3 linked regions of the Diceros bicornis minor genome follow. Each later gene encodes a partner of the first gene's protein in a complex. Links are inferred from orthologs where the notes say so. Each region holds a gene or a part of one and is shown in the gene's direction. Other genes may lie near its edges.

Evidence for each region. Proteins that work in one complex are often made in the same cells at the same time.
Region 2: ABI1 (region 1) and WASF2 share a complex: the UniProt entries of both Homo sapiens proteins name them as parts of the WAVE2 complex. The link is inferred for Diceros bicornis minor from reciprocal best matches to the Homo sapiens genes ABI1 and WASF2.
Region 3: ABI1 (region 1) and NCKAP1 share a complex: the UniProt entries of both Homo sapiens proteins name them as parts of the WAVE2 complex. The link is inferred for Diceros bicornis minor from reciprocal best matches to the Homo sapiens genes ABI1 and NCKAP1.

What each region holds. Positions count from the first base shown.
Region 1 is NC_080775.1:25,872,599-25,879,466, reverse strand, and holds the start of ABI1 (abl interactor 1), read left to right. Parts: upstream 1-3,860; 5' UTR 3,861-3,972; coding exon 3,973-4,089; intron 4,090-6,868. UniProt on the Homo sapiens protein: May act in negative regulation of cell growth and transformation by interacting with nonreceptor tyrosine kinases ABL1 and/or ABL2. May play a role in regulation of EGF-induced Erk pathway activation. Involved in cytoskeletal reorganization and EGFR signaling.
Region 2 is NC_080752.1:43,073,524-43,080,698, reverse strand, and holds the start of WASF2 (actin-binding protein WASF2), read left to right. Parts: upstream 1-4,153; 5' UTR 4,154-4,321; intron 4,322-7,175. UniProt on the Homo sapiens protein: Downstream effector molecule involved in the transmission of signals from tyrosine kinase receptors and small GTPases to the actin cytoskeleton. Promotes formation of actin filaments. Part of the WAVE complex that regulates lamellipodia formation.
Region 3 is NC_080749.1:62,921,894-62,928,810, reverse strand, and holds the start of NCKAP1 (nck-associated protein 1), read left to right. Parts: upstream 1-3,895; 5' UTR 3,896-4,146; coding exon 4,147-4,254; intron 4,255-6,917. UniProt on the Homo sapiens protein: Part of the WAVE complex that regulates lamellipodia formation. The WAVE complex regulates actin filament reorganization via its interaction with the Arp2/3 complex. Actin remodeling activity is regulated by RAC1.

The sequences.
Region 1 (6,868 bases):
TTTTGTCCCCACAAATCCCATTTGTTTGTTTGTTTTTGAGGTCATATTGGTTTATAACACCGTGAAATTTCAGGTGTACATTATTATATATCAATTTTTGTATAGACTGCATTGTGCTGGCCACCAATAGTCTAATTTTTATCCATCAACATATACATGTGCCCCTTTACCCCTTTCACTCACCCCCCAACCCTCTTCCCCTCTGGTAACCACTAACCTGTTCTCTTTGTCCACGTGTTTGTTTATCTTCCACATATGAGTGAAATCATACGTGTTTGTCTTTCTCTGTCTGGCTTATTTCACTTAACATGATACCCTCAAGTTTCATCCATGTTGTTGCAAATGGAACCATTTTGTCGTCTTTTTATAGCTGAGTAATATTCCATTGTATATATATATACACCATATCTTCTTTATCTATTTGTCAGTTGTTTGGCCCTTGGGTTGCTTCCAGGTCTTGGCCATTGTGAATAGTGCTGCAATGAACATAGCGGTGCATAAGCCTCTGTGAACTGTTGATTTCAACTTCTTTGGATAAATACCCAGTAGTGGGATAGCTGGATCATATGGTATTTCTATTTTTAATTTTTTGAGAAATCTCCATACTGTTTTCCATAGTGGCTGGACCAGTTTGCATTCCCACCAGCAGTGTATGAGGGTTCCCTTTTCTCCACGTCCTCTCCAACATTTGTTATTTTTTGTCTTGGTAATTATAGCCATTCTAACAGGTGTAAGGTGATATCTCATTGTAGTTTTGATTTGCATTTCCCTAATGATTAGTGACGTTGAACATCTTTTTATGTGCCTATTGGCCATCTGTATATCTTCTTTGGAAAAACATCTGTTCATATCCTCTGCCCATTTTTTGATTGGATTGTTTGTTTGTTTGTTGTTGAGTTATATGAGTTCTTTACATATTTTGGAGATTAACCCCTTGTGGGATGTATGATTTGCAAATATTTTCTCCTACTTGGTGGGTTGTCTTTTTGTTTTGTTCCTGCTTTCCTTTGCCTTGCAGAAGCTCTAGTCTGATGTAGTCTCATTTGTCTATTTTTTCTTTTGTTTCCCATGCCTGAGTAGACATGATATTCGAAAAGATGCTGCTAAGACCAATGTCAAAGAGTGTACCACCTATATTTTCTTCTAGGAGTTTTATGGTTTCACATCTTACCTTCACAGTTTTAATCCATTTTGAGTTAATTTATGTGTATGGTATAAGATAATGGTCTACTTTCATTCTTTTGCATGTGGCTGTCCAGTTTTCCCAATACCATTTATCAAAGAGCCTTTCCTTTCTCCATTCTATGTTCTTGGTTCCTTTCTTGAAGATTAGCTGTCTATAGATTTGTGGGTTTATTTCTGAGCTGTCAATTCTGTTCCATTGATCTATGTGTCTATTTTTGTGCCAGTACCATGCTGTTTTGATTACTATAGCTTTGTAGTATAGTTTGAAGTCAGGGATTGTGATGCCTCCAGCTTTGTTCTTCTTTTTTTTTTGCTGAGGAAAATTCACCCTGAGCTAACATCTGTTGCCAATCTTCCTCTATTTTGTATGTGAGCTGCCATCACAGCATGGCAGCTGATAGATGAGTGATGTAGGTCTGCCCCCCGGGAACTGAACCCAGGCCACTGAGTGGAGCATGCTGAACTTAACCTCTAGGCCACTGGGCCTGGCCCTCCAGCTTTGTTCTTTCTCCTCAGGATTGCTTTTGCTATTTGAAGTCTTTTGTCGTTCCATATAAATTTTAGTGTCAATAAATGCTGAAAGTCAATGGCTACAGTATGGTGCTGTGTTTTATGGTTTTATCCCCTCAAATTCCCTTTGGTTTCAAGTAAAGAAATATTGCCTGATTATAGTCTACAATTATCAGGGAAACTGTTTTTTTTTTTTTTTAATAAAAATACAGGGCCGGCCCCGTGGCTTGGCGGTTAAGTGCGTGCGCTCTGCTACTGGCGGCCCGGGTTTGGATCCCAGGCGCGCACTGACGCACCGCATCTCTGGCCATGCTGAGGCCCTGTCCCACATACAGCAACTAGAAGGATGTGCAACTGTGACGTACAACTATCTACTGGGGGGCTTTGGGGGAAAAAAAGGAGGAGGATTAGGCAATGGATGTTAGCTCAGAGCCGGTCTTCCTCAGCAAAAAGAGGAGGATTAGCATGGATGTTAGCTCAGGGCTGATCTTCCTCACAAAAAACAAAAACAAAAACAAAAGGTAGCATATTCAATTCAATCACCTTAGAGGTATGAGGGATAACTTCTTTGAATGGACTTTATTTGAACCACAAGTGTTTTAACTGAATAGTGGAAAGACCACTGATCTGGCAGTCAGAGGACTTTACTACTGTTTTCAGCGCCCTTAGCTATATCTCTTAACCTGTCTAAGCTTAAATTTCCTTATTTGGTAAAGTAGAAAGGAATCTTTAGGTCATTTATCTTTCAGACTTGTGAGCATTAAAGAAATTTGATACTACTTTGAAAGTAGTAAAGCAGCATCACCTGTCTGACCCCTCCCCCAATGTTGTTGAAACGTATCAACATATGGATATAAACGAACTTAGTGATTTCCATAGCTAAATCTGGCTCATGTAGAGACCAAGTTCAAGAATACATCAAATTTTAATATTGGATTAAATAATGTTTGGATTAACGATAAATATTAAAGAAAGACTATTATGTCTATTCCAGATAATTATTGAGAGTAAGCCATTTATTTATTGATGGACCTTAGAATCCTTGATTGGGAATCTGGTGGGTGGGGCTGATTATCTCTTTCAGGTAGGAGACTAAAGTTTTTCCTTGTAGAGGTTGAGCATTTTATGGCCCCTAGTATGGGCAATATTCAATAAATACCTATTGATGGGTCAATTTTTTAAAATCTGGTTGAGCCACATTATTATTCCTATAGTTATTGTGATTCTAAACGACTTCATAGAGAGATGAAAATATGGATATTTAAATGATCTTTAAATTAGTTTCCTTTTCTACCTTTGGACACTTTCATAGCCCATTATATCAAAAGTATTTAATGATCCTGTTGAAATGAAATCCTTGAAATATAGGGCCTTTTAGACTATTCCAAAGCAGTTGATAACAAAAGAAACCAAAATAATTTTATACAGCATAGATAACGTGTACATAACTTCAAAATTGTAGATAGATACGTGCAAAGAAGAGTCAAAGAAAAAGAGATTAAAGATAGCACTAAAAATTATGTTTATTTTTAAATTGTGAGTGTTTAAGAGTATAGAGTATCCTTACTCAACTTGTACTCCCAATGTTTCTTGCATTATTTGTTACAGTACAGAGCTGGCGATAACACATATTTGCTAAATTTTAAATGAATTGAGGGTGGCGGAAGTTTAGAAAGTAAAGCCCGAGTTGCGCTATCTCTAAGAAGATTGAGGAAGTAAAGATTAGAATTTTTCCATATTCTAGCCCTTTTTAATTCTTATCAGAGTTGATATCTCTGATTCACTGACATTTCCTAATTAACCAAGTTCTGCCAAGTTTCACAGCCTTCTCAGGAGGAACCGGTTTTATTCTCTTCAATCACCCTGTGGCGCCATCTCCCGGAGCTGTCAGGAAACTCCAGACTTAACCCCCGACCCTTGAGTTGACGTGCTTTTTCGGAGGCTCCTTGGACGCATGCGCCTTTGATGGCTAACCTAGCCTGTGAGAGACTACACTTCCCAGAAGACCATGCCGGGGGTGGGGGGGAATCCCGTGGTCGAGGGGCGGGGGAGGGAAAGACCCGAAGGCTCGCGAGAAAACGAGGTTGCGGCGGCTGCGCGAAGTGGGAGGAGGGGGTGGAGAGAGCGAGGAGGAAGAGGAGGAGGTGCCGTCCCACAATACCAGGCGGGAGGGCGGGTAGGCGGTTTGTATCCGGGCTGTGAGGTGCTCGGAGGCTCCGCGGACCTTGCTGCTTCTGTCTCTTTAACGCGAGAGGAAGCGATGCGGAGGGGTGGAAAATGGCAGAGCTGCAGATGTTACTAGAGGAGGAGATCCCGTCCGGCAAGAGGGCGCTGATAGAGAGTTACCAGAACCTGACGCGGGTGGCCGACTACTGTGAGAACAACTACATACAGGTGAGGCGCGCGGGCGGGCGCTGGCCGGCCGGGCCGAGGACCCCGCCGCCGGCCGCCCGAGTGACCAGCCCGCTGGGCGGGGTGGGGAAGTGCCCTAACCTCGGCGGCCGCCTCAGCCCCAACCCCAGCCCCAGCCCCAAATCCCAGCCGGGGAGAGAGCGAGTGGTCGGGTGAGGGTTTCGGGCTGCCATACAGGAAGTGGCTGTGGTGGGTGAAACCGACAGAAGGGGAGCGAGGAAGCGGGCGAGGGAGCCCGGAGCCCCCTGCCGTCTGCCTCCCCGCGGCTCGGCCCCCAGTCGCGCCGCCCCCCGCAGCCCTCCCTTCCCCGGTGCTGTCCCGGAGAGCCGGCGGCCGCCCCGCCGCCGGGAGAGGGGTCTGGGACGGGCAGCGAGGGGAGAGGGAAGGGCAGGGACGAGGCGCAGGGAGAGAGGAAAAGCGGGGCGTGCGGCGGGGGAGGCTGGGGTGGGGGCGGTTTTGTCAGTTCAACCCAGAGGGTGTGTCTTTTATTTATTTATTTTTTAAAAAATTTGTCATGAGTCACATTACACAGACCTCCCCAAGGAGGGGAGGAAGCGGGTGGGGAGCGAGGGAGGGCGTAGAAGAGAAGTTAATCTCAAAATTCCTTTAATTGAAGGTTTGTAAATCTGCCTGCCTGTCCGTTTGCAAGTCGGGTTTTTCCCTCTCATCGTTTTCACTTCCGCCCCACCGTAATCTATTCTAGAGGTTGTTAGGGCTATCGTTACTATAAAACACAGATTGTTCTTAACCGCTTGGAAAAATGCCTTAAATACGCTCTCGTCCCCAAAAGTTCTTGAACTGTTGGCTTCCTAAGTAACTTAAAATAGAATGGTGTAATCGCCGGTTGCTTATTTTCTGAGGTTTCTCTCTTTCCAATCTAAGTAAATGTGTAGAATATAAATTAAGTAGATTATAGGACATATTTAGTCTTAAAATCATAACGTAAAGTGTCTTACTGTAAATTTATTAGCAGATTCTTGGGGCCTTTTCTGTGACAGATGCTTGCTTGTTCGTTTTTATTTTAGTGATTGAAAGTGAATTATGTTGTGGTAGTTTGGTTTGTAGATCTTTGCGTAAACCAGCAGTTTGCAGTAGAAGCCAATTAGCAGAGGCCTTTGTATCAATATAATGGCACCAAAAAGTCGCTTGTTAGTGGTAAGGCATGACCAGAACGTGCTTTGAAAGGTTAGGGGTATTGCAATTCACAACTGAAGTATGTATAGAAATGCCTCCCATGTGATTATCGTTTTTAAAAATCAATAGTTTGTGTTGGCAAATGGTTTTCAGCTTTATTTTTAGAAGGAGATACTGTTTTCAGAATATTTTGAATATTCTCAGTTTCCGTATTAGTAACATTGTATCTTCAGTAGTACTGGTAGGAATTTATCTCAAATTTTTTCAAGCTTTTACTTTAGGAATTCTACTGATAAATAAACTTGTTGAATGCTTGCCATGTCTACTGTATTATTTGTTTTTGCAAACTTTATATTTAGCCTTTTAAAAATATTCTGAATTATGTTAGAAATGTGGATATGGTTTTTAAATAGAAAAGTGATCTTGTAGTTTATCGATATTAAAAATATACACCTTTTATTTAACTTAACATGAAAAGCCTTAAAATTGAGGCAAATCTCAATTGGCTGAATGTTTTAAAGATTTTGAAAGTCAAAGTCACAGGAAGTTATATTGCCCTCATTCTAGAAAAATCATTTCTTTGTAGAAGTCAGCAGATAATCGCTTCATGAAGGGGTGGCTTCTTTTTGTTCTGCATGTTGGGAAATCTGACAAATATATGGTGTGGTAACTGCTACGTCTTGGCAAATGCAAACGTGTTTTAACCTGTCTGTTGACTATTTTTTTTTCAGGTAGTTGTGTGATCTAAGGCTTTTTTTCCCCCTGCTACCTTTCCTTTTCCCCTCCTGCTACCATCACATAACTTTGAAACACTTCTAAACTTGGTAATATCCGTTAATTAAGATAAGTCATGTTATTTTTCATGTAGTCTCTTACTTTTAAACATGTTAGTACCATGGTGCCAAGAGCCACTGTTAGTGGCCCCTAATTTTTTTTGGCGGTCTTAAACTTGACACTGGTGAAGTATGCTGATCTTACTGGGGGGAAAAAAGATGAAATTCACACATAGCAATGTTTATCTTAGTAGCATTTAAACTTTGGGCTATGTGATGCAGGCCACTAGCTGCCTTGCCAAGAGGCTCAGACAGGGTCAGGCTCAGACAGGCTGGGAAGATGATGGAGACTTTCTGGAAGTTGATGTGGTAGCTGACTTCATGATGTGCTGTGCTGCTAACTTTGGTGCTGTGAATAGGGAACAAGTAGTACTAGAAATATCCATTTAGATGTCTTTTGAGATCTTTCTGTATCCCTTCTGTGACCCTGATTGGGTTATAATCAACAGCCTGCATAAACATACCTCTTCTCAGGGAAAGTGTATGGTCGCTTGTGTTTTGAGAATTTTTTATACCCAGGTGAGTTAAGTTATTGACTGGGTGCTTTTTTGTGTGTGTGAGGAAAACTGGCTCTGAGCTAACATCCATTGCCAATCCTTCTCTTTTTGCTGAGGAAGATTAGCTCTGAGCTAACATCTGTGCCCATCTTCCTCTGTTTTGTATATGGGATGCCGCCACCGCGTGGCTTGATGAGTGGTGTGTTGGTCCGCGCCTGGGATCCGAACCTGTGAACCCTGGGCTGTGAAGCGGAGCACGTGAACTTAACCGCTACACCATCGGGGCGACCCCTGCCT
Region 2 (7,175 bases), on another chromosome or scaffold:
TGATGCACTCCATTCTATAGATGAAAAAACTGAGGCTCAGCCAGGTTATATAACGTGCCCAAGGTCACACAGACATAAAAGGCAGATCTGGGACTCAAACCCAGGACTGTTTCCAGAGATGGCAATTTGCCTGCTATACTGGTTCAGGCTGGTTTCCCAGAGTGCTTGCTATCCCTATAGCAACAATGAGAGGAACTCTTGTGCTGACAGCACTTTATAGTTTATGCAGGCCTTATTTTTTCTGCTCCTCACAACAGCCCTGTAGGCAGAGCTGTTATCATACCTATTTTATAGATAAGGAAACTGAGGCTCAGAGAGGGGGCGTGACTTGGCTGAGATTACAGAGCCGTGAAGTGGCAAAGTTGGGACTCAGAGCCAGTTCTAAGGGACTCTAAATGTCTTTTTGCTTCCCCTTGCAGAGGAAGAGTATCTGCTCCCTGCTCTTATCAGCCTTAGGGGACAGGGAACAGGCAAGGGTTATTTTTTAGAATTGGTAGGAAAGGAATGGAGGCTTGGCCCTCAGAACCTGGGGACTTGCTCCAGGCAGTGAAGAATTCATTGCTCCACACGATAACTCTAACTCCCTGGGAAGAAGGAGGGCTTGCCCTCAAGAGCAGCAAGCCCTCCTGAATTCCGAATTCGGTCCGAGTTCCCAGGTTGGGTTTAAATTCCAGCCTTGCTGCTTCCTGACTGGGTGGCCTTGGGCAAGTCACTGAACCTCTTTGTGCTTCTTTTATCTCATTTGTAAAATGATGATGATAACAGGACCTAACTTATAGGATTGCTATGAGGATTTATGAGTTAATGCATGTAAAGCACTTAGCACAGGGCTGGCACAGAGTAAATGCTCAATGTTAGTGCTTATTGGTTAATATCAATTTAATTACTATTAAAATGCACAGCACCACCCCCTCTGAAAGCAACTTGTCTATCTCCATTGCCTAAAAGGAGAAACTAAGGCTCCTGTTGCCAAACAACCTTCAAGCAAAGCCCCAGAATCTTACCTAGTATAGGTAGTATACTGATATCAATAATTATTATTAAGGGCCGGCCCCGTGGCTTAGCGGTTGGGTGCGCGCGCTCCGCTGCTGGCGGCCCGGGTTCGGATCCCGGGTGCGCACCAACGCACCGCTTCTCCGGCCATGCTGAGGCCGTGTCCCACATACAGCAACTAGAAGGAAATGCAGCTATGACATACAACTATCTACTGGGGCTTTGGGGGAAAAAAAAATAAATAAAATTATTAAAAGAAAATAATAATTATTATTATTAAAATTAACATCCAACAACTGCTTCCTATGTGCCAATCACTGTGCTAAGTCCTTCACATTTATTATCTCACTTAATCTTCACAGCTCTGGGAAATAGAAACAACTATGATTCCCATTTTGCAGATAAGGAAACTGAGGCTCAGAGAGATGAAGTCACCTGCCCAAGGTCACACTGCTAGGAAGTGGTAAACTGTGATTTGAACCCAGGCTGCCTGGCTCCAGTCTTCTCTGACAATTAAAGTCAGATGACAACTCGCCCAGTGCATAGACGCTTACATCAGCTCTCTCCCTAACGCATCCGCTGGATCTGCTGCCTCAGGCTCCCCTCCCTCCATGCTGGGAAGGCCAAGCACTGTTTATGGAGCGCCTTCTATGTGCCAGAACGCTTTATACTTTTTAACACATTTCAACATTGAATCTTCACTGCCACTTTATGCCCCTCTATCATTATCCCCATTTCTCAGAAGAGTGGCTGAGGCACAGAGAGGTGTGGGGACTGCTCAAGGTCACACAGTCCGAGGTGAGATGGCAGAGCCAAGATTGAAACCCAGGTGGGTTGGCCACAAAGCTTGTGTTCTTTCAAGAACTATCAGAAAAGCAGAGACCCTTGGAGACCAGCCCACTCTCAAAGCCAGTTTCCCTCCCCTGTAAAACCTCATTTGTTTAGGCCCTGTGTGAGAGTGCGTGCGTACAGGCATGCATGCATGAGAGCTCTACCCTTCCTCCCCATCGCCATTATCCCCATTGGCCTAGATGCCTTCCACACCCTTTCTCTTGGCCTGCAACACTTCTCCCAACCACCTGCTGCCTAGTTAACCCCCATTCATCAACTCACCCAAGACATCAACTCTTTAGGAAGCCTCCTCTGACCCCACCCCATCCCCTGACATTCACTCTCATAAACACATTGTACTTTGCCTTCTTGTTCCTTATCACAGTTTCTAACTGTATTTTGATTCGTCTGATCATTTGTTTAACGACTCACTTCCTCACCAAACTCTAAGCTCCATGAGGGTCTGAGTCTGTTTTGCTCACCATTGTAGCTGCACCACTGGCCGGCTGCCCTACACATGATTGGTGCTTAATTTTTTATTGAATGAATGAATCCATGAATGAATAAATAGCTCCCAGGCACTTTACACACATGACTCATTAATTCCACAATTAACTCATTGAATCCTCACAACTGCCCTGTCCTCCCCATTTTAGAGAAGACGTGGGTAGGTGAGGCTCAGCTAGAAAGTGCTGGAGCCTGGATTCCACCTCAGGTCAGTCTGACCCCAAAGCCACTGACCTCTGCATAGCACCTGCTGCCTCCCAGCACCCAATGGCCACAGTCAGGATTTAAATAGTCACTGGTTGTCAGACCACACATCCCAATTTGAGCCTGGAGGTCACTGACTCAGCTGGCAACTGGGGCCTCGTTGGCACCACCCACTTGGTGCTCTCTGCCCTGCTAAAGTCTTAGGCTGCTCTCCCTCCCACTCTCTTCTTGGCTTCCTTCCTTTCCAGAGGGAAAGGGACTAGGAATTACAGCCAAGGCAGCCCTTCTGGGAAAAACAATCCTGCAGTGAAAAGAGCCCTGTTCTGAGAGCAGAGAAACCTGGATTTAAGTCCTGGCATGGAAGCTGCCCCTCTGAGGGCCCACAGTAGCGTCACTGTCCCTCTCGGAGCTTGTGTGTCCTCATTTGGGATTCTGTCTGGGTTGCTGACCCATCTGCCATCCCTTACTCACTTCCCGATTCCTAGGACCTCAGAAACAGCTCGGACACACCTCTAGGGTCACATTTCCCTGGAACCTTGGTGACTAACAATAGCTAAGGGGTTGCTGTGTCTATGTCTATGGTGACCACATAGAGGGGGGACTGGCCTGGCACCCTCAAGACCCTCCCTGGAATGCTAAGGGGTTGGGGGAGGAAAGTCTTTCTCAGGGGACACCAAGCCTGGAAGGGAGAAATACAGGAATGGAAGCCAAAAGATACAGGTTTGAGTCCCAGGATGTTTCAAATTCCCTGGGTGACCCAGGGTAAGTCATGGAGTTTTCAGTTTTCTCTTCTGCAAAACGAGGACAATATCCGCCTTACCGAGTTGCTCTAGAGAACTAAATGAAGTATCTTCGCTAACTTGTGTATCTGTCACATTGATACCCAGCTGCAGCCTTTTATAATCAAGATGCACATATACCGACTCATGCATGAATCCTCAACAAACACTCCAAGATAGGAGGCAGACATGACTGCTCCTATTTTGCAGAAGAACAAACTGAGACCCAGATAAGTTCAGGCAGTTGTCTGAAATCGCAGAGCGGCGTGGCGGCTTAACCAAGTTCTACTTTACCCGACCCTGGCCTGCCAAAACCAGCTTCTAGTCCCAGAAGCTCGGGCCTCGCCCCGAACGGATCCCTCCGCGGCGGACTGGAGCCTATGACTCACTTTCCCCACCCTACTTTCGGCCGGGCCTGCGACCGAGAGGGAAGGGACAGAACCATCTGCAACGAGGGGTGTCCACAGAAAGGTCTGGGCTTGGCCCCTTCCTTCCACCAAAAACACTGGTTCTTTGAACTCTAATAGGAATAATTCGTCTTTTAACAAACTTTGTGTGAGTTTTTACACTTCCTTAGGGGAGATTTTCCAACCTTGAATTTAGGAGTTGATTTAGTTTAATCTCCACCCCCACTTCACTTGGTTTGCCCCGCCGCTGTTTACTCTGATTGCGGAAGTAGCTCGGGTGGAGCTCCAGGGACGGTACACTTGAGTACGTCTTTTGCGTAGCAATTTAACTGGCATTCCACTCAGGCCAATGGAGTGCCCGGAAGCCCCAGGCGGGTGAGGCAGAGAGCCAATCAGGGTTGTTGGCGGGGTGTGGCTGCGTCCCAGGGCGGGGAGTCGCGTAATGGCGGACGCGGGCCGGTGGAGCGCGGCTGGGGGCGTAGTGCGTTGAGGGGGTCTGGCTGTGTGGCAGCCTGCGTGGCGGCCCGCGGTAACAGTCCCCGTGCCGAGAAGGGCGGGCGGCTGGCCCTTCTGTCGCTGAGGGTAACCGCGCGAGACCAGGTGAGCAACAAGTCCCCGCGAGTGGGCCCCACCGTGAGGCGCCGGGCCCGGCCGGGCCGCCCCTCCCGAGCGGCGCAGAGTCCCGGGGGAGTGGGTGCCGCGCCTCCTGCCGCGGCCAGGCAGAGGCCGAGCGAGCGGGCCGCGAGGGGTGGCGTCTTTTTCTACACTCCCTTCCCCAAGGAGGAGGTGTCCCGGAGATCCCCTGGGAGAGTTGTGGGGCCTGCGAGTCTGTGAGGCTGCGAAAGTGCCCCAACCTGACTTGGCTCTGCCACCAGCTCTCTGTGTGACCTTGGGCAAGTCACTTCCTTCTTTGGGCCTCAGTTTTCCCATTGGTAAAACGAAGGCTCTGCAGGCAGATGTACATGAGTTGGATGCCAGATGTTGTCTGAGATCTTGGGTAAAGTCTTCACCGGGCGGAGCCTCAGTTTCCATCTCTGGGCCATGAAAGAATTGAGGTGCTCTTTGAGACCCTGGTCTGCTAAGTTGCAGAGTAGTGGAGGGGACTGTCTGTGTGTGTGGGTACACGTACGTGTGTGTACAGGATGGTACTGCAGAGTAAGGAGGAGAGTTGCCTAAAGGGGCTCTGGATGGACCCCAGACTGTGGTGGGTGGAGTATGGTTGTCTTGGTCCTCCAGGATCCTAGAGCCTCGGAGATGGGGAAGTTTTATGCAGTTCTGCATAGAATTAGAGAAGAGGAAGGGTCTTCGGAACCTCTTGGGGCTGTGATTGAAATTTAGGCCCAAAAGAATTCAAGGAGGTTAGGAAGAGAAGGGAGAACATTTATGGTGCTCCTACTATGTGCCAGACCTTGTTTAGGCATATGTTCTTATTTAATTTTTACAGCTGTCTTTGAGACTTTATTTACACATGAGGAAACTAAGTTTCAGAGGAGTTAAGTAACTTGCCCAAGGTCACGCAGTATGGTGCAGAGTTTACCAACGATAGGGTATTTCCTTTGAGAGTCACTGGGCAAGGGGGAAGTCACTGCCCATTTAAAAGAAGTTTGCTTTGTCACAAAGCGGGAGAAGGGTCTGGTCCCAGACGCTTGAATTGACTTCTGGCGTGGAGATAGGCCAGGTTTTGATCTCTGCCTGGGTAATTATACGTGCATCCCCTTTGTTCAGTCTGTGAGTTGGAAAGGACCATTTCTGAATTGTAAAAGTCACATTGAAGTGTATCAGAACCTCAGAGAGCTCAGTTTGAATCCTGACTGGGTGGCCTGTGGAAGAAAGTTCACCAACTATTGGTGTATAAACTTGACTCTTGGTTCAGAGTGGTGCCAGCCCAGTAACTTTCTCCTCCCTAAGAAGGCCAGGCTTTCTTGGGATGGGAGAAATTTCCCATTTGTTAGTTCAGATTTCTTTGGATTCCTGGAGTGAAAGTTTCAATAGCTTGCCTCTGATTAAGCGAAGTGTTTCTTGTCTTTGTGCTCTCTGTTATCTGACTTCTAGATGCGTGAAGATTGTGGACCTGGAGTGGGAGGTAATTGGGTACTATAAATTGCAGCACTAATTTTTCCAAGTCTCAAAGCTTTTGATTAATCGAAATGGTAGGACCAGCAGTATGTATTGTTCTCATATGTCAATGGTAGGGAAGAAAATTGGAAGAGGAAGTTACTGAGAAAGAGGGCGTTTCTTAGCAGTGGAGCCAATATGTATTTCTTTGTTTGAAATTCTAAAACCAGAAAAGCAGCAACTGAAGGAGGAAGGAAGGAAAGAACTGTGAAACTCTTCTTCCCATTCAGATATCTTTAAGTGCTGTCCCTGTCTGCTCTGCTTTCACAGAAAAAGTTAATTATAATTTATTCAATGTTCAGAAATTGTATTCTAGAATGAAATAATTTTAAATTTTAAACCCTCTGAGATAAATATTTTAAAAATCAGAACATTTTACTGAGTACTTTATTGGTGGATGATTCTTTTTCTCAACATAATTACCAATTGCAGTCTGTTTTAACTGTGCATTAAATTAGTGGATTTCAACCAAAGAGGAATTGATCTAAATATTGGATGATGCAAATGTTACCATCACATTAAAAACACATAATGGTGTGTTTGGTTTTTGACATTTGTTAAGTCTTTTTAATGCTTTATTTTACAGGATTATATATGTGTGAATAGTTGTTAAGACATTGAATTTATTGCATGTGAAGATCTATCTTTTTTTTTTTTATAATTTTATTTATTTATTTTCCCCCCAAAGCCCCAGTAGATAGTTGTATGTCATAGTTGCACATCCTTCTAGTTGCTGTATGTGGGACGCGGCCTCAGCATGGCCAGAGAACCGGTATGTCGGTGCACGCCTGGGATCCGAACCTGGGCCGCCAGCATCAGAGCGCATGCACTTAACCGCTAAGCCGTGGGGCTGGCCCCAGAAGATCTATCTTCATTGTCAGTATTAGTTATATTTTCTGTATAAGATTTAGTCTTAACTAGTGTACCAGTCCACATTACCTTGGGGCCACAAAAAAAGTTCTTGGGGCCAGATGTGTTTCTGAATTTAGAATTTTTTGGATTTTAGAAAAGGAATATGGTACATGTACTGTGTGTTATGTAACATCCCAGAAAATTCTGGGGCAGCACCTTGTAATCAAACACATTACTATTTCTGTAGTAAAATGTCAGAATTTTCACACCAACTGGGATAAATAAATACTATAAATAGCCTCATGTCATTTCACGTCAGAATTTGCCGCCAAATGAATAATGAAAAGCTTGTTTTTTACAGCCTTTTGGATTTTGGAATTGAAGTTAAGGGATTGTGGACCTCTATGGATAAAACTTAGGTGATGACAAGAACAATTACAAGGAACAATAGTGTAAACCAAGCTAATTTCAAAACCATGGGTCCTAA
Region 3 (6,917 bases), on another chromosome or scaffold:
CATCATATTGGCTGGAACATTAGTCCTATGGCTACACTAGGCTGCAAGGGAGGCTGGGAGATGTAGTCTTTATTCTATTTCTAAAGGAGAAAGAAACAACAGCTATTGAAGGATAATCAATGACCCTGTCACAGTCAGCGACTGTGATAAAGATAATTTTCAAATTATCTTTATTATCCTTGAGTCCTCAAAAGTCATCTTTTGTTCTCCCATTTTTTTTTTACATTTCTTCTTCTTCGTTGAATTTTTTTCCCTATCTTAGCATTCATAAGCTTACATATTTTCTGTTCCACTTCTCTTTCTGGCTTTATTTCTCATTGTTTCTTTCATGTATGTAATGAACATTCTTATTATTTCCAGCACTTTCCTACTATTTTGCATTCACCAAAGTCGAACCTTTTGCCTAGAATGTCATTTTCTACAAGTTTATAAGTCCAAGACTTACTTCTCATTCAAGGCCCAAGGGTAAGGTATTGCAAAAGGGCTCTTAGCAACTTCAGCTTGAAACTGTTCTTTCTAGGTCTTCTCTTATAGCCCTGTATTTCAGGCCTCCTTATATTAGACTTCCTTATGTATATTTCTATTCTCACCAGGATGTGAGTTCAAGGAAATCAAAATCTAGATCTTATACAGCTTCATATCTCCTTTAGAACAACAGTACTTTGCATACTTTAAGTATTTGATTGTTTAATGTATTACATAGAATTGAAAAGTATTCTTTAAATCCATCCAGGATTGTTACTATAAATGACTGAATGTTTTGTAATAATACATATATAAAAGCTGTGTATCATAGATTTGTTTCTGAAATTTTATGAGTAGAAGTTTATAATTGAATCATTGTAAAATATATTTGGGTGCCACAAAATGTAATTCTATTATAAATACTTTTATAAAGTCAACCTCACTTCTCCTTCAATTTAAGTATTTTCCAGTTTGGATTTTCAAATGCTTACATTCCTTAGAGTGGGTACCATTATACTTGTCTCAATAAAAATAATTTTTCAAACATAGATACATAACTTTTTATTTATTTATTTTTTAAGATTTTATTTATTTATTTTTTCCCCCCAAAGCCCCAGTAGATAGTTGTATGTCATAGCTGCACATCCTTCTAGTTGCTGTATGTGGGACTCGGCCTCAGGATGGCCGGAGAAGTGGTGCCTCGGTGCGCGCCCGGGATCCGAACCCGGGCCACCAGCATCGGAGCGCGCGCACTTAACCACCAAGCCACGGGGCTGGCCCGATACATAACTTTTTAAAAGTCAGATTTATTGAGATATAATTTACATACAGTAAAATTTACACTTTTTTAGGCATACTGGTCTATACTAGTTAACTTTACTAGTTAATTTTCTAAGATTACTACAAATATGAAGCTATCATCTACTTGCTACGTCTCTCTGAAGGCTTATAATAATTTCAGTGATTTCTGAATATGTTCTGGGGACAAACAGCAGAAATCTCTTAACTGAAGTGAAACTATTTGAAAATCTTTAGTACCAAAGGAACTGTGAAGACAATGCTTTGTATGATGAGGTAAATAAAATTTTCAATCGTGCTTTTTAAAATTTAGTTTCCTAATCATTTAAAAAATATTATGGTTTTCCAGAAAACTACAACAGGAAAAAAAATCCACAACAGGAGCAATTTTTCATAATAACTTTACAGGCTGATTCACATGGTATGGCATATTCTCAAAGACTGAAAACCTGAAAGTAAATATAAAATGACATATAGTAATTACAATAGCCATAAATCATACATGCATAGCAAAATATATGATTATTACCTTAGCACTGACAGTATATTTATACTACACATATAGGCAAACTTTGAAAGGGTTGGATCTTAATAACAAAATACTTTTTGATGCAAAATGCAGAGAAATGCAAGAATTGTAAATACTTCATCTAGACCTAATCTCTTTTACTCAAATAGACATATTCCACTCAGTCTAGGGCCAATATGTCTAAAAATTAGTTGTAATAAATATTGAATGAGACTACTATTTTCAGAGTTCTCCCTTTATTGGGTACTCTCTGCGTTATAAGCAGCTATAAGCGTTCAAGTTCAGATGGAAACATGATATGGCTTTTTTGAGGAGTAACAGTTGTGTTCAAATTATATGGTGCCATTTTCTTGTTCTCGCTATACGGCACTTTTGAAAAACTAGAAAATGATGTAAGCTTTCACTGGTAGGACTCTGAAATTCTGACTCTAGTTAAATTTGCTTGTGGTCCTCTAAAGGAGCACATCTTTCCCCCAACATTCAACACCTTTCAGTTTTCCCATCTGACTGCCCCAAACCCCTCATGCAGCCTCCCTTCTCCCAGCTGTGCTCTCACTTTCTCAGGCTCCAGACACTGGTCGCCTCTAAATTAAAATTTTAACTATCAGGTTGGAAAGTAACCAGATAAATTAAATCCCCTAACGTGTTATTGACTAATAATAGCTCAATAGGTGATCTCTCTGAGGTGTTTGTATTTAAAACAAACAAAAAGGATTCTAGGTACAAAGCCTTCATTTAAGGCAATGAAATTCTATGCATAGAATTTCAAGCACAATGTCAGGTATGATAGACTTTCTGGTGGATGTAGGACTCTTTGTAACGGCCTTTAAATGCAATCCATTCCATTAACTCCCTCTCTCTCGTTGGGATATTGAAATGAAGATTTCCGTAGGAATAGTACATTTATTAGCTTTAAAAAATGTTTTAAAATCTATTCGTCACAATTTCCTTTTCATAAAGTTTTGATCAATCCAATGATAGCTTATTTACTCTTAAAATGTCTTTTATTGAAGGTGGCAGAACATTTTGTCACTCACTTAAAATTAATGAACATAATATAAGATCAACACATTGAAGGAAATCAAGGCCAAAAATACTAAAATGGCTTCAATTGTCTTGGCTAGAATACCTCACCCCAGTCAATTACATAAGTCCTTGATTTGTTCACTTTTGGAATCGTGTCTAATATATTTGACCAAAGGGAGTAGTCTTGGAGCCTGGCTGGGAAGAAATTGATCAGGAAAGAAACAATGAGATAGAAAAGTAGAATGTTTCCAAGAAGGGGTAGGATTTAGGGTGGAGGTCAGAAAAAAATGGGGGCGTTCCTTCATTCATTGAACATTTTATTTTTGGCCTTCCACATGCCAGGGCCTCTCTATTAGCGTTTTCTCCGGATGGGTGCTCCTCGTCGGCAAATTCCGGATTCTGATTATCTCAGGAACTTGAGTCGCCCTCACTTCCGACCTCCTCTCTCACAAACTGCCTTGAGGCGGGGGAGTAGCGATGGGATGGGGAGGATGGGAGAGGCGATGCCCGCCTCGCGGAGCACAACATCTGCTATGTTCAGCGGAAAGCGTCTGTCAAGCAGTGGGAGGAAAAAAAGCTTGGAGCCACCAGCCCACTCTTAGGCGAAACTCGCCTGAAACCCACCCACTCCGGGCTTCTGCTGCTTTCTTTGGGGAGGTGGGGCGGAAAAGCAACTTTTGGGAACTTGAAGGAGAGGGGCGTGGGGCGAAGTGGGACGAGCGTAGAAACGTGACCCGCCTCGATCCCGGGTTAGGACTCGCATGCCGGGATCAGGCGCAGTGGGCGGGCCGGGCCGGGTCTGGGGCCCGAGCCGGGTCCCGAGCGGCGGCGAGGCGGGGCGGGGAGGGCGAGGGCCCCCCAGGCGCAGTTCTCCGTCCGGCCTCGCGGGGGCGCCGGCGCGACCGATCAGGTGACCGAGCGCTCGTCCGGGGCTGCGAGAAGCGGCCTCGTTCTCAGCCGCCGGAGACGCCGCCGCCGCCGCCACACCTAGTGGAGGAGCCCGGGAAGGCGGCTCGGTGGGGGCTGGGGCGGAGAGCGCCGGGGGTGGGGACGGAAAGGCGGCGGGCGGAAGGCAGGAGGCTGCCGGGGCGCAGGCTGCTGCGGGGGAAGGGACCCCGAGGCGTCCGCCGCGGCTCGCTCTGTCACCGGCGCGGGATTGGGACGCCCGGGCCATGGGCGCGCTCCCCTGAGGCGGAGGTCGCGGGCGGGAGGGGAGGAGGCCCGGGAGAGGCTGCCGCGGAGGCCGCGGGCCGGGGACTGGGCGCGAGGCGGCCGGCGGCGGCGGCGGCACCACCACCACCACCTCCTCCACCACCTCCTCCACCACCATGTCGCGCTCGGTGCTGCAGCCCAGTCAGCAGAAGCTGGCGGAGAAGCTCACCATCCTCAACGACCGGGGCGTCGGCATGCTCACCCGCCTCTACAACATCAAGAAGGTGCGCACGGGCCGGCGAGGCCGCGGCGGGGGCGGCGGGCGGGCCGAGGAGGGATGGAGGGCAGGGGCGGCCGGGGTGAGGGCGGCGGGCGGCGCCCGGGGCAGAAATCACGGCCTCGCCGCCGCAGGCCCGGCCCGGGGTCGCCAGGATGCGCCGCGGCCTAATGCGGAGTCCGGGCGCCTCCCCGGTGGCTCGCGGGCCGGCCGGAGGCCGAGAGGAGCCATTTCCCGGCTTCTGGCGCCGGAATCCGGCCGGGCCCGGCTGCGGGTGAGGGTCGCTGCCGCCCCCTCCCCGGCACCCCCGCCCCCGAACGGGGTACACTGGAAAAGGAGGGTGGCGGGGGGGGGCGAGATTGGGGGGGAATAGGAGAACTTGGGTGTTCCCTAACTGGGGTTGAATGGTAGGAATCTGGCGGAGATGGTAGCAGTTTTTTCTGGATTTTTTTGGTGTGTAAGTGTGGGAATGTGGGAAAGGAATGCCTAATCAGGATGAACCCCACATCCCCTCCACTTTGCCACTTTATTTTAGATTGCTAAATAAAAGCCATTTGAGAGCGGGTTGACCGTTTGAGATCATGTCATTTCGGAGGTGGAGAGGAGGGGGAAGTGAGGGTGGAACCAATTTTCTTCTGAAATACTCCTGGGCTGTGAGTCACTAGAACAGGAATAACAACCTTCTCTCCCTTCCCTCTTTACTCCTCCTCATCTTGGTTTTTCCAGCCCTGTCTGATAGTACCCAAACACCATTTCTTAAAGTTCGGCGTCGGTACAAAATAAAAACTGTGGGTATGTCGCTGTCACTGCTGATTTATAGCATATGCTGATAATTTGAGTAGCTGTAGCTAATAGGCCCATTGAAAGTCTTCATATGGCTTCAGCAGATTAAGGAATGGAAGGCTGAGTTGGAATTAAGAAAAATAAATGTAAAGATAGAACAAATATTATATTAATTTATCTCTAAGAGAAAACAAGCAAAATCCTTTTGAAGACAAGGTTAGTAAATTTTAAAGAATTTGTTAAGAGAAAATGAGAGAGATTTTTTGGTACAATCTAGATCCTTAGAGTTTCCAATGTGTATTTGATGTCATGTCTTCATAATAATTTTTGTTGGCTTTTTAGTATATCATAAATATTTCTTTCATGGCAATAGAATGTTAGTGCTTGTAAATTAGGGCTGCTGAAGAAAGAATATCTTTTTGAAATTCCTATCATGGGGTTCAAGTATAAAACTAAACAATTTGATGTAGACATTGTAATTATAAAGGAGAAAACTGACCTGACTTAATAGTGATAAATATTGCATAAGGATAGCAATGCTCCCAGTTGCTCACCTGGATGCAAGGATTGATTGACTCTAAACTCAGTGCAATTTGGAGAGTAACTGCAACATGCCTATTCAGTTGGTTATATTTTATGTGGCAGGAGCTCAGTGTCATTAGAAAGAAGCCCTCTGCATTTATCAGAGAGCCTTGGTTATACATTTATGTAGGTTGGGAATAATTTAATTTTAGGTAGTATTACTTATAGGTTGCATTGACCTAAACTTTTTTGTGAGCATTATACTCCTTAACAAAGTTGGAAATTGGTTCCTATCTGAACTTGTCCAAAAAACGAACAAGTCAAACATTACTAAAAGTTACTAGACCTGTGGTATTGTGGTTAAAGGAAATGGTTATGATGGTTTCCAGAAGAGGAAGTGAGAGTTAACATCAAAAGTGATTTGGGTATTTGGGCAAAATAGGTTTTTTTAAGCCTTCGTTCAACATTTTTATGGTGTAAATACAATCAAACTTTGCATAATCCACCTTCATAAATTAACTAAGATTATACTAAATTCGAAGCATTTGAACTCTTATAATTTCAGTTCACTGTCTTTTCTCAAAAGTGTCTTTTTTCACTTCCTGTTTTGAGAAACTTGAGGCTCTTGTATTACTGCACTAGTAAAATTTAAAATGAGTTGAATGTGATCATTATATCCTAGTGTCAAATATTTTGAGTTATTGAAATGTTATATTTCAACACTTAACATATTTATGGTTTGTTGAGAAGTATTTTATCTACCTTGCCTGATTGTGAGTTCCCTCTGGGCAGGGACAGTGTTACTCACTTTTGAGTTACTGGTACTTAGGGCCTCAGGTGGTCCATGAGGCCTTCAGTTAGGCCTTGTTGAAACGGATGAATATTATGTATATTATATTATATGTATATATTTAACATATATATGAGTGTGTGTGTATAATCTTGCTCTAGTTTTAATAATTTTTGGTTTGCTTTCCTTGAATAATTTTGCATACAAATGCATCAGATTTTGAATCTTTCAGCCTCTGCAGAGTTGTCTAAGACTGGCATATCTTCCCGGCTGGCTAGGAATTGAAACATTTGTTCAAAAATTTTGCCAAAATGAGTAAGATCTGTTCACCAAGTGTTTATAAGGTTCATGCTGTCTGCATTTTTATGACAGTATAAACCACGTGATCTTTTCAGTCTCAATCTTCTGGTCCTCAAAAAAACCTCCCACCACATAGTACATGTCCACCACTCAATTATCACATTTTTATTAATGCATGTGTGCATTAGATTGTCTATCAGATCTGGTTACTTTGCTGTTTTAATTGCAAGTCTGCAATGGAAATATTTTAGTGAGCATACACAATGAAAAATACT